3 linked regions of the Kluyveromyces lactis genome follow. The protein of the gene in region 3 purifies or fractionates together with the protein of the main gene of each other region. This does not show direct contact. Links are inferred from orthologs where the notes say so. Each region holds a gene or a part of one and is shown on either strand. Other genes may lie near its edges.

Region 1 (4,307 bases), on a different chromosome or scaffold from region 3:
CTTCAATCACTTTTAAATGCACCATACCCAACCGATACTCGACTCCTGGCATTCATGAACTACTACAGGGCCCAAGCGACCGACGGAACTGATCCGAACGTTGCACTCAGGAAGGCTTTCAAGAGAATTGAATTGGTCTTAATACACACCACATTACTGCTCAACTTCTTTGTCATTTTCGCAGGAATCATATGGCCAATAGACTTCGAGAAGAATTTGGAGCACTTCAAAATGCCTGGGATATCACATCTAGAAAACTACCCATCGCCGTTTAACCATGGAACAGGCATAATAGAGGGGGAATTGAGAAGGCACTGGGTTCACCCAGTATATTGGAGAACGAGTGCCCTCGAGTAATTTTAAGGGTAACGCATCGTACCTTTTCTACCAACTGCTAATTCTATTCTTTCAAGTAGGGCTATTCCTCGTAACTGTACTATCCATCTCACCATTCAAAGATCACGAAGTCGCGGACGAAACCTATACACAGAAAGCCCAGAGTGATCTGAGTGACGGATATAATGGTAACGTCTTGATACTCGAAGTGGATCCAAAAGCCATGATCGAAAATCTTATAACCAAAGCACGGCCAATGGCGCAGGATCAGGAGACGTTTGAACCGACAAATGTAGATGCGATGGTGTAACACAGTTGAATCTAAAAACAAATGTACATTAAACTAGTTTAGATGTAGTGGCTTCTTTATATATGAATATATATAAGTGCCTAATCTGTTCACTGAGTGGCTTAATGCGTATGATACAGGGAATGAAAGAAATGGAATTATGATGCACGGTTTGTCTGTGTATGGAAGGGAGTGGATGATATTAAATAGAGAACATGCGAATTGGCTTCTTATTGTGAGATTGGACAGTTCTTCAAGTATTCCGCCTTGTTCTTCAAGATCCTGACCGATTTGAAGAAGATTTCTTCCGGTGTCATAGCACCAGAACTCTCCACGTTAAAGATGAAGTGGTCTCTCACCCTACCCAACTTAACCTTCCCCTGGAACTCATCGTGTCTCAACACCTCTCTGGACACGGTATCCTTCCTTGGATCCTTGATATAAGCTTCACCCTTCTCGTTGACATCTGCGACACCTTTAGGGAAACATTTCACAAATTTCTTGGCATCATCACCGGTGATAGGCTGTGTGATCTGGATGTGTGGTAATAGTCTATAACTAGCTGTCGACACCGGAGAGAACTTGGCATGGTCTGCACCGATACCTAGAATACAATGTGCCCTTAACGAAATCTCTTGACCTGGTCTCAACTTGGCCAACAAGATATCTGGATCCGCTGCCACCACGGGACACTTGGCAAATTGTTCCACCTGTTTCCCCTGAGGCTCAAACTTAAGGTCCCTAGCATAGATATGCGCGTTTCTATAAAGAACCTTGGGGTCTTCACAATCCTTTGGAGCATCTGGGTTCCTGGTACATTTCACGTTCAACGACATCACTATCGTATTTTCATCTGTAAACCTTTCAGATTCGGGCAATGACGTGTCCACCCAACTCAACATATCTGGATCCACCTTCAATGGCACTAACCCGATTCTATGCGCCAACACTTCGTCCTGTAGCACAGACGTATTGTTAAAAAAGTAGACGTATTCTGGAGCGACAGATGGTACTTCTGAGATCATAATACGACGGAAAGCGTTAGCAATCGATGTGTCGACATGAACCAAATCGAAATTCACTTCACGCTCATCCAAACTCTCGATTTGTACGTCAAAAGTTTCCTTGAACTTCTCCAAGTCCCATGAATTGTCTTGATCCGAACTAAATCCAGGGAAATCTGTTGAACTTGTGTTCGTCACACGGTTATATTCAACACCAACGATATTGGACATCCTTTTTCAATTGTATTGCTACGTTTATGCTACCTCTTGAGCTCTCAAACGACCTCAGAAAAGCCCTATGACACTGGTCAAGGTCCGTCTCATCGGTGTAGATACCTCATCTCAAGCTCATCTCATCGCTTTAAAGAACTGAAAAATTTTTGGAAAAGAAAAGATCACATCGTATAGAGTGATTATATATGATTAAAGATTGGTAGAAATGCGATGAGATAGCTACTCGAGAGCAGGTACTAGTCGATTACTGCTCTTTTGACCATCCTCAGTTAGTTCAGTATGTGGTATTTTACAGTTGGATTGTAACTGGATAACCATATTCCCCTGTCTTACTCTTTCACAAGGTGATAATGGACCTTTTAGATGACGAAGATTATGGAAGTGTCAGCGATGAGGAAAGCTTGGATGATGGGTTAAGTGGTGTAACCAGTGGTATAACCAGTGGTATAGCCACAGAATCGGATATTTTACCCTCTCCTAGTGTTAGCAACCTAATATCTGACTTTCACGCGCAATTCTGGCACCAAGGCGCGGATTTAGATGACCTCATCCAACTTGCCAAGCACGAAACTATAATACGAGATGCAACAAACCATACGACAGAGCCTTACAATGTCATAAAACTGGGCCAATTGATGCCTTTATTCGATACAGAGCTTTCCATGGTGTTTCAATGCATTGTAGATACCTACAAGGCCAAGTTCCCTGGGTTGGAAACTATTGTCCCTGAAAGGAAACAATACGTCGACGTGGTCAAGATGCTGCAACAGGATATTCCCAACGTGCAATTAGACCAAGTGCTATCGAAGGAGGAAACCCTTGTGGTATCTATGTCTCTAAAGACAGATTTCAAAGAGGGTGCTCGAATTGATAAGGATCTCCTCTCCAAGGCCATCCATTGGTTCGATATTCTGTACAACTTACGGGACAACGTCTCACACTATGTTGAGACAAGAATACAAATGGTAGCTCCAAACTTATGTGCTTTATTGGGACCTGATACTGCAGCTAAACTGGTAACACATTGTGGTAGTGTTAAAGAACTAAGTGTGGTTCCCAGTTGTAATTTGGCATCCATTGGCCAGGACAAAACGTTGCATGGCAAATCGTTAGATATCTCTGGGGTACGACAAAAGGGATATCTATTCTATACAGACGTGGTACAAACACAGCCTCCTGAGTTCCAGAAACAGGCGCTTAGAATGGTCTCTGCCAAGGTTGCTCTTGCTGCGAGAGCGGATTGCACCATGGGGAATCAAGTCATTAACCCAGATGGGAATTCAGATGGGAACTCAGATGCCTCGAAGCTGGGCTTGAAATGGAGGCATGAAATCGTTGAAAAACTCAAGAAGATAATAGATCCGCCGAATATCAGTAACATCAAGCCGTTGCCGATCCCAGAAGACGCTCCAAAGAAGAAAAGAGCTGGTAGAAGGTTCCGTAAGTACAAAGAACAGTTCAAGATGTCGCATCTAAGGCAAATGCAAAACAGAATGGAGTTCGGTAAAGAGGAACAGACCACCATGGACCCATACGGAGAAGAAATAGGGTTCGGGATGGCCGATTCAAAGAACGTTTCCGCATTGTCCTCTTTCAATAAGACCAAAATGCGTAAATCTATGCGTTTAAGATTAGATCAAGAGACTAAAAACACGCACAGTTTCCTACAGGATGAGAGGTCCGAAAAGCTCAAACGTAGTGCAGAGCACCCACAAGCTACGGACCCCGCCACCAGCAAACAACCACGGTTGTGAGACACCATAGTTCTGCCGTGTACCTTTTATACCCTGTATATGTCTATTCATAGATCTGTAATTACGATTCCTATTATGGCAAAACCAAAACACAAAAAGATGATCCAATGTTCGAATTGAAAACTTTAAACAAAGAACACAACTTAACCATTGAACTTTAGGGTCTCTTATTCGATCAGATCTGCCGATAATTCATTGTGTCAAGTCAGAAGTAACGTGTCTGACCTGAAGCACTAACGGTTTTATTTACATACTTCAATCACACAGTTTAAAATAAGAAATGTTTACAAGAGATGCGAATGGTCGTCACAAGGAGGTCGACGCATTGGTCGACGATATGGTCAATTTCAGTTTTGATACGGATGCTAAAGTTATGCTAGATCCCCCAAGCACTCCAACGAGAATACGTGGTTCTCCGTCTCCTACTAGATCGATAGTAAAAAACCCTGAAAACTCGCTCATGGATATCGACGATGATACTCAGGGAGATTTGACGGCAGACATTACCAAGTCGCCAAAGAAACTACCCAAAGATTTCTATAAGAAGTCCTCAAAGACTAAATCCAAGAGATTGGTTTCCGTGTGTCAGATGTATTTCTTGGATTATTATTGTGATATGTTCGACTATGTGATTAGCAGAAGAGAACGTACCAGACAAGTGATCAACTATTTGGAAGAGCAAAGAAGGTC
Region 2 (5,452 bases), on a different chromosome or scaffold from region 3:
GGTATGCTATAATTTGTTCTGCAGTAATACCATTCAATAAAGCATTTCTTACAGATTCTCTCGTAAGCTGTCCAGTCACCATATTCGCAAATCTTGATTTTAGATGGACAAATAGCGATAGAATAGCAATTTGCAATGGGGAGTTAGAATATGAATATAGTTTGAAGTTAGTCTCTATAATCAAGGCACCGTCTTGAGTTCGCTCTGTAGTTTCATCTTGTCCACTGTCTCCTTCTACAGCTGTTGTTTCATTAGCTTTATTTAACACGCTGTCTAGAGCGACTGAGGCACTTCTGAATGCTTTTGTGTCGGACGTCAACAACGTGGCTAATCTGGTAGGATAAAACTTTGCATAATCCGATTGATTTTGATAGATTAATCCGTAATCTCTCATATCCTGTAACATTGTTCTCTGCGTATTACTTAGTTGATCGCACTTATACGCCTTCCCTAGCTGTAATGCACCTAGCATGAAAATGAAATTTAGAACATCCACGGGATCCATCTGTAAACTTTCTGCCATCTTCAAATATTGAAGAAGAAGAGTCCACATCTGTGCATTGACATCTTGCAAGAGAAATTGGAAACCTTGGTTAGTAATTTTGAGTTCGCCATATTCTGCCTCTTCCATTAGACCACTATGCTGCAATAAGTCTAGAACCTTTCCACCAGGAGTGTTTGTATTCGGTGTTCCCACCATGTAATGCAAGATTGTTTCCCACTTTTCTGCACTATACTGGTCCAAAGTAGCTGTAGATACGGGATTGGTATCATCATCCGCAACATCACCAAAAGAGTTATTGATTTCACCACCAGTTAATACATTTTTGAAAGATTTCTTGAAAATTGGATTCAAACGAATCAATAGAGGTTGTTTACTCTCACCTTCTATTATAAGATTCAAGGATTTCATCGATTTAATAGAGTATTGTAACTGGTATTTCGCATCTGGCTTGACCCATTTATCTAAATCTCTAAGCGAGACATCGTGGTCCTGAAACAGCATCGACATAATGAAGAATTTTGCCATGGGAGAAAGCAATCTATAAATTGCCAAACATGTCGCTGGAGACTCATATAATCTTGATTGGACTTGCTCTGGAAGACCTTCTAGGTAGTCATTAACGGTGGTCTTGAAAAGATTCAGACTCATAGTATTGAAAATATGCAGCTCAAGGCCTCTTGAAATAGCAAGAGATTAGAACCAAGTGAGGAGATCAACAATTTGGTCACGTCAATCGATAATGTTATTTCAGCCTAATACGATTTGCTGCATTCGAACGATGCAATGCATCCATGATATCCGATTTGGAAAAGCTCATCTGAATCAATAGTACTTAAGGTTGATACCATGTCAAATCCAGACATTCGCATATTGAAAGTAAAATATATGTCACGTGTATATATATCATGTAACACGAAGAAATGTATCTTGCACGTGACTGAAAATTTGTTGATGACAGAAGAAATTTCTTTTCACTCTGTCAGATCAATTTTGGAAAATGAAAAAGATCAAATCAAGCTCATCTCGAATTTGAAATAATCGAAATACGCCAATGATTAATGTAGATGAGCTCTGTCAATATTGATGGAAACAAAGAGAAGTGCATTTATTGGCAGTTAGTGACTGTACTGATTTGCTGACCTCAACAAAGATTTGATTAAGTGAAATTTACTGGTTGGCTCCTTCTTTTTTCACTTTCAGTAGAGTAGCTTTGTTTGGTCTTTTTGCCTCTTTTCTAGATATTTTGTTTGATTAACTGTTTGGAACACTAATTAAGTTTGGAAAGGGTAGCTTTCAAATATCCTGATTGAATATTCTCTAAAATGAACCACACTGACTCCCATAATCCTGATGGCTATGAAAAAGATGAAGCGTTCGATGCTCTTTTGAAACCCGTCTTCAAAGGTAAAAAGCTGACTGACGAGATCAACACTGCCGAAGATAAATGGAATCTTTTGCCTGCCTTTTTAAAGGTGAAAGGGTTAGTAAAGCAGCATTTGGACTCTTTTAATTACTTTGTGGATGTTGATTTGAAGAAGATCATCAAAGCTAATGAGGTTATATTATCTGATGTCGATCCAGAGTTTTACTTGAAGTACATTGACATTAGAGTAGGATACAAACATAACGGCAACAAAGCTATTATGACCCCACCACATGAATGTAGATTACGAGACATGACATACAGTACTCCTATCTTTGTTGATATTGAATACACCAGAGGAAGATCAATTGTGTTGCATAGAGATGTGGAGATCGGTAGAATGCCCATAATGTTGAGATCAAACAAATGTATATTAGATGGTGCAGCAGAAAATGATATGGCCAAATTAAATGAATGTCCCTTAGATCCAGGTGGATATTTCATTGTTAATGGTACTGAAAAAGTCATCTTAGTTCAAGAACAATTATCTAAGAATCGTATCATTGTGGAAGCAGATGAGAAGAAAAACATCGTACAAGCTTCTGTTACATCTTCCACCCACGAAAGAAAATCTAAGACTTACGTAGTCACCAAGAATGATAAAATATACTTAAAACATAACTCTATCGCAGAAGAGGTTCCAATTGTAGTTGTTTTGAAGGCTTGTGGTGTTGTATCTGATTTAGAAATCATGCAGTTAGTTTGTGGTAATGATAGCAGTTATCAAGATATCTTCGCGGTGAATCTCGAAGAAGCTGCCGAACTAAAAATATACACGCAACAACAAGCCTTAGAATTCATTGGTACTAAAGTTAAAACTGTCAGAAGACAGAAACTTTCCATCTTGCAAGAAGGTATCGAGGCCATCGCTACGACAGTCATTGCTCATCTGACAGTGGAAGCTTTAGACTTTAGAGAAAAAGCATTATACATTGCAATGATGACTCGTAGAGTCGTAATGGCTATAGATAACCCAAAGATGGTTGATGACAGAGATTATGTTGGTAACAAGCGTTTAGAATTGGCTGGTCAATTGATGTCATTGTTATTTGAAGATTTATTCAAAAAGTTCAATAATGATTTCAAGGCAAACATCGATAAAGTCTTAAAGAAACCAAATCGTGCTGAAATGTATGATGCCTTACTAACCATTAACGTACATTCCAACAACATTACTACAGGTATGAATCGTGCAATTTCAACTGGTAACTGGTCTTTGAAACGTTTCAAGATGGAAAGAGCAGGTGTTACACATGTCTTATCCAGACTTTCTTATATTTCAGCATTAGGTATGATGACAAGAATATCCTCTCAATTTGAGAAATCTAGAAAAGTTTCAGGTCCTAGAGCCCTACAACCTTCTCAATTTGGTATGTTATGTACCTCAGATACTCCAGAAGGTGAGGCCTGTGGTTTGGTTAAAAATTTGGCATTAATGACCCATATCACCACCGATGATGAAGAAGAGCCTATAAAGAGGATTTGTTACTTGTTGGGTGTGGAAGACATAAGTTTAATTGACAGTGCTTCAATTCATTTAAATTATGGTGTCTACTTAAACGGTACAATCATAGGGACAACTAGATTTCCTACAAAGTTTGTGTCTCAATTCAGATGTTTAAGAAGAACTGGTAGAGCGTCAGAGTTCATCTCTATATATACCAATACACATCAAAAAGCAGTTCATATTGCTACTGATGGAGGAAGAATCTGTAGGCCGTTGATAATTGTTTCGAACGGGCAGTCTTCTGTTACTGCAGACCATTTAAGATCTCTTCTGGCTGGAAAATTACAATTCGATGATTTCTTAAAACTGGGTTTAGTCGAGTATCTCGACGTTAATGAAGAAAACGACTCGTTCATTGCATTATATGAAAAAGATCTATCTGAGAATATTACGCATCTAGAAATTGAATCATTTACTGTCTTAGGTGCAGTTGCTGGTTTGATTCCATATCCTCACCATAATCAGTCTCCACGTAACACTTATCAATGTGCGATGGGTAAGCAGGCTATTGGTGCAATTGCATACAATCAATTCAAAAGAATTGACACCTTATTGTATCTAATGATATACCCTCAACAGCCTATGGTGAAAACCAAAACGATTGAATTGATCGATTACGATAAACTTCCGGCAGGTCAAAATGCTACGGTGGCAGTTATGTCCTACTCCGGTTATGATATCGAGGATGCGTTAGTTTTAAATAAAGCGTCCATTGACAGAGGTTTTGGACGTTGTGAAACTCGTCGTAAGAACACCACCGTGTTGAAGAGATATCCAAATCATACTCAGGATATTATTGGTGGTATGAGAGTTGATGAAAATGGTGAGCCTATATGGCAACACCAAGCATTAGGCCCTGATGGGCTAGGTGAAGTTGGAATGAAGGTTGAAAGTGGACAAATTTATGTCAATAAATCTGTTCCAACTAATGCGTCGGATAGCATTCTAACTCAAACACAAGCTCAGTACAAGGAGACTCCAGTGGTATATAGAGCTCCAGAACCTTCTCATATTGATCAAGTTATGATGTCAGTTTCTGATAATGACCAGGCTTTGATCAAAGTTCTATTGAGACAAAACAGAAGACCTGAATTGGGTGATAAATTCTCATCGAGACATGGTCAAAAGGGTGTCTGTGGTATCATCGTAAAACAAGAAGATCTTCCTTTCAACGATCAAGGTGTAGTACCAGATATTATCATGAACCCACATGGTTTCCCATCTCGTATGACCGTTGGAAAAATGATTGAGTTGATATCAGGTAAAGCTGGTGTCTTGAATGGTACCCTTGAATACGGTACCTGTTTCGGTGGATCTAAGTTAGAAGACATGTCAAAGATTTTAGTCGATAATGGTTTCAACTATTCCGGTAAGGACATGCTTTATTCTGGTATTACTGGTGAATGTTTACAAGCTTACATTTTCTTTGGTCCAATCTACTATCAAAAGTTGAAGCATATGGTTCTTGACAAAATGCACGCAAGAGCCAGAGGTCCAAGGGCAGTGTTAACGCGTCAACCAACAGAAGGTAGATCTAGAGATGGTGGTCTAAGATTGGGTGAAATGGAACGTGACTGTGTTATCGCATACGGTGCTTCACAACTATTGTTGGAAAGATTAATGTTAAGTTCTGATGCCTTTGAAGTCGATGTTTGTGAAAAATGTGGTTTGATGGGTTATAGTGGATGGTGTACAAGCTGTAAAACCGCTGAACATGTTGTCAAAATGACTATTCCTTATGCAGCCAAACTTTTATTCCAGGAATTGCTTGCGATGAACATTGCACCAAGATTGAAATTAGGCGATGTCTTTGAAGCTTGACTGTAAGCATTTTCTGACGATTCTAGTAGTAACATTATTTATTCAGTATTACTTATAAAGCATCATTTTCACTTGAATTTTCATTATTGATTAGTATATACCATATCATAGTCAACTTTTAGTTTAGCCGCTAGCTCCTGCAAAGTCATTTCATCATTATCTTCTTTCCTTAGTTCATTCTCAAATTTCTGGAGTT
Region 3 (4,019 bases):
AGAATGAATCACAAACTACGAATGTAAATCAAAGCACCAATCATAAACGTAGTCTCTCCAAAGGAAGAGGAATCTTTTCGCATATCACTCATGCAAATAATCAAAGATCTGAACCACAAACATCATCCTCTTCGAGCTCCAAACAGAGCTCAGGGTCTGCTTCGAGATCACAACATAGTTATAAAATGTTATTGGATCCAAGGCCAACGATTTTACCAGTAACCACTTTAGGTGGTAGAAAACCTTCTACAACCTCTTCCTCGTCCAATTCATCTACTGCATCTAGGAACGACCGTGAACCTGTCGTCCAACCATCATCTACATCACAAGGTGAACTAGTGCAGAGAAATAACTCTAACAAACGTCTCATTGCAAAACAACGAATCAATATTGCCATTGAATTAAGAAACAAAGGTGACCTGAAAGGGTCAACTGCACATCTCAAAGAAGCGTGTAAATTGGAGGACAGAACAGCTTTTTTGCTGTATGGTCTTGCCTTAAGATACGGGTCTGGTACCGAAATCGATTTACACGAATCATTTAACTGGATTAGAGGTGCAACGGGTATCAAGGATTTCAAAACCAGCGTATTACATGCAAATATAGATCCATTTGAGATACGTGAACCGCTTCCATCTCTACAGAATGACGCAGCTGCCCCCGCTCTGTACGAATGTGGTATAGCTTATATGAAGGGATACGGTGTCACTGCTCATGAATGGAAGGGTCTGAAATGTTTGGAATATGCAGCATCGTTGGGACACGTTGATTCTATGTGTTTATGCGGTACCATTTGGTCAAAGACGACTCCAAATAGGAAAAAAGATTTAAGACGAGCAGCTAAATGGTTCAGACTCGCAAAGGATCAAGGAGCAGATCTAATTGGAGCAGACTGGATCTATAAAACGGACTATCTATAGTTATCGTTCACTCACAGAGCAAGCTCCTCTCTAACAACATTTATTTCACATAGTAACATTAATTTCTAATATCATAATACTTTAATTCTTTACCGCATAAAAAGTTGTGGTTGCCACGGATTTGTACATACAGGAACATACATAAAGCAACTTCTTTTTGACTATAGAATGTCAATGTTAGCTTGGAGATGGTAGCTTCTGTTCAATGGTGCTGTCTGCTTTCAACTCACCTAGCTGTGGCCTCATAACTGAGGGTTACCCGACCTTTTAATGCGCGTTCCCGTTTCTCGAAGTAACATGTGCTGAGTTGAAATTATCACAAAGACCGATAACGCTGCCCTTACAATGAGTTTTCGAACAGCCAACCATAACAAGCTTGATAGGAGGCCGTCAATTTAGTTGAATCTAGCACAGTGTGTCTTTGAGCTCTCAAGAATACTGTTTTATTTTCAAACGTTTCACCGCTTCCAATTAACCTGCAATAATGAAGGTATGCGAATAATCGTGTTTTAATATAGTTCTGACATATTCATAATGAACAAACGGAATACTAACCTTATATTAACGGCATGTATGTATATTTTTTGCATCATGTGTTACTTAACATCTTTTAAAGTTTATCGATGAATTTGATTTAGAGGTTGTTAACCAGGCTCTTAATTTCGAGACCTCGGACTGCAGTATCACAGGTGGTTGCGACATTTTCACGACAAAGCCCGTAGCTTCAGATAAGAAGCTTTATAAGACCATAGATCGTCATTTGGAGTCCTTACTTCAAGAAAGTGAGTCGCTTACTGCTGCAGCTCACAGGAGGCAATCTTTTGACGAAAAGAACAGAACTATCGATGAAAATGTGCAAGAGCAACAGAGCCCAAACCCTAATTCATTCTGGGAACAAAAGAGAAGGATGTCTGTTAGCGAGAATTCGAGTGGGACAAATAGTTCGTCACCTATAATAAAATCTAATAAGTTGAACGACCAAAATTTGAAGGAATTCGTGCTGTCAACTGACAGTACAAATTTTGTCACGAATGGACACAACAATAGTAATAGTAGTACCACCAATGCTAACTCCAATAACGGATATTTGAGTTCATCATCAATGGAATCGGGGCCTTTAGGGATCGCTTCACAACGTCCCAGTTTCCTAAGGAGGACTAGCAGTGCTGGAAGCATTGCAAGCAACCATACCGATACTTCGAAAAGAAGACCTAGCACAAGTGGTTCAGCGAATGAAATACAAAATACTTCATACCAACAGAGGAGGAGGTCATCGGTACAAGGAAGAGACAACGTAAATATTGGACCGTTTGGACCTATCAACGAAACTGCTAGCAGGAGAGCTTTCGCGTATCTAATAGCCATTTTGAATGCGTCCTATCCGGATCACGATTTTTCGTCATTAGAGCCCACCGATTTCGTGAAATGCACCAAGAAAAGTTTCATCTCGAAGTTCGAAAATACCTTGATATCTTTAGGAAAACCACCTCAGGAATGGATCTGGGAAACGATCAACGGACATATGGATATCAACGATTGCGCTTTCTATCAATATGTCCCTCAAAAATCGTTTCTTGAAGATGAGCCTGGCCATCTTTGGTCATTGATGTGGTTTTTGTTCAATAAAAAAAGGAAAAGAGTCGCATATGTTTATCTAACAGCATGCCGTTTGAAAGGAACTCCCTCTGTTGGAAATAGTGTCATATTGGCGGATGACGAAGATGAAAATTCAAGTAAACTAGAATCAGAACGTAAACAGAGAAGGAAATTGACGTTAGATAACGACAACGATTTTGAAGGCGAATATGATTTAACTTATGAGGAGAATGCTATAATTGATGATGATGAGGGCATCAACGAAGATTTCAAGGATGAAGCCATGGATGATCTTAACTGATTATCATTACATTTTCGAACCAACTTATCGCTTTCCTGTATTTTTATTGAATTACCTTCCCCAAGTTCACGATAGCTAAAGCAGTGCATTATTTGGATGTTGTAACCTATAGTATTTCTTCTTGCTGTATCATTTTTTTCTAACTCTCTCTGTCTTTCTACCTATGTTTTATTATTAACACTATTGTTCTTATTTCAAATATAAATATAAAATCATGACAGTCCTTCTATGACGTAAACTGAACCTTTCCATACAAAATAAATACGCAACACGTAACACTTTATATGATTCAAAGTTGCTTAATTATATTTCTCCATATCTTTGAGTTTTCTTGACAGGAGTTAAAGCGCAATTGATATATCACTGTACCGAAATAACACCTTCTCCACTAATCGCAAAATTCATTTCACCTTTCACCGCATAAGTCGAAAACACTAGCTTCAGATTTCTCTGCACTTGCCAAAATTGAGAGGTATCTGTTGTATTGTTGTAATTGAATTCCCCCGTGCGTACCATAGGTGATGCTTTATATCGTTTCTCCAGTTTTATTCTTGTCATTAAATGGTTAGCCCAAGTTAAACCGAGATTTGGTACCTTCGTGTCAACTTCTCGTTTCCTTCTTGATAACAGGAAAGGTGCGGATGGTTGGGGCTGTGACGGTACCACAGGGGTTTTACTTTGAGTAGGCTGAGGTGAGTTTTGTTGAGAGATAACATTATTCCGCAGCGCTTCAGTCCTCAATGCTGCGACAGACTGCGCAGGGTCTTTATTATTTGTATCTGGAACACTAGCCGGAACATTCTGTTGTAATTTCCTTGCAACCTGGTCTACAATTAACGTATAGTCCTCATCGTCACTCAATATGGTCTCATCATATTTCTCTATTTCATTGAATTTGTGTCTATAAAAAATAGTCGAATTCTTCCATCCGATGTTCCAGCCCAGCTGATAATCATAATCCTTGAAGTCCTGTCGTATTGGCTTCTCTGGTAAAAGTTTGTCACTTACTTGATTGGCGACGACGATGGCCAAATTATGTTTTTGAGCTAAAGAAAGTAAGTTCTCTGCCATGGAATCTATAATATACCTGTTTGATCTCGATTCTTGAAATGTTTTCGATTGCAACTCAACCCTGAGATGGTGCGAAATCGAATCTATTATTACTAATTTAATAGATGGGTGTCTTTCCAGTAGGACTGGAA

The links.
Region 1: the proteins of MAF1 (region 3) and RPC40 purify together in Saccharomyces cerevisiae (affinity purification with western blotting; 4 studies listed by BioGRID, with this or other methods). This does not show direct contact. The link is inferred for Kluyveromyces lactis from reciprocal best matches to the Saccharomyces cerevisiae genes MAF1 and RPC40.
Region 2: the proteins of MAF1 (region 3) and RET1 purify together in Saccharomyces cerevisiae (affinity purification with mass spectrometry; 4 studies listed by BioGRID). This does not show direct contact. The link is inferred for Kluyveromyces lactis from reciprocal best matches to the Saccharomyces cerevisiae genes MAF1 and RET1.

The regions. Positions count from the first base shown.
Region 1 is NC_006040.1:1,252,168-1,256,474, forward strand, and holds RPC40 (DNA-directed RNA polymerase core subunit RPC40), read right to left. Parts: upstream 1,861-4,307; coding exon 856-1,860; downstream 1-855. Other genes in the region: GLD1 (Gld1p), read left to right, coding at 1-357; U4/U6-U5 snRNP complex subunit PRP31, read left to right, coding at 2,214-3,617; KLLA0_D14905g (serine/threonine-protein kinase), read left to right, coding at 3,898-4,307. UniProt on the Saccharomyces cerevisiae protein: DNA-dependent RNA polymerases catalyze the transcription of DNA into RNA using the four ribonucleoside triphosphates as substrates.
Region 2 is NC_006042.1:96,504-101,955, forward strand, and holds RET1 (DNA-directed RNA polymerase III core subunit RET1), read left to right. Parts: upstream 1-1,827; coding exon 1,828-5,256; downstream 5,257-5,452. Other genes in the region: TFIIH/NER complex subunit TFB2, read right to left, coding at 1-1,153; MEI5 (Mei5p), read right to left, coding at 5,340-5,452. UniProt on the Saccharomyces cerevisiae protein: DNA-dependent RNA polymerase catalyzes the transcription of DNA into RNA using the four ribonucleoside triphosphates as substrates. Second largest core component of RNA polymerase III which synthesizes small RNAs, such as 5S rRNA and tRNAs.
Region 3 is NC_006041.1:1,556,478-1,560,496, reverse strand, and holds MAF1 (RNA polymerase III-inhibiting protein MAF1), read left to right. Parts: upstream 1-1,827; coding exon 1,828-2,817; downstream 2,818-4,019. Other genes in the region: DSF2 (Dsf2p), read left to right, coding at 1-920; putative DNA-dependent ATPase RAD57, read right to left, coding at 3,178-4,019. UniProt on the Saccharomyces cerevisiae protein: Mediator of diverse signals that repress RNA polymerase III transcription. Inhibits the de novo assembly of TFIIIB onto DNA.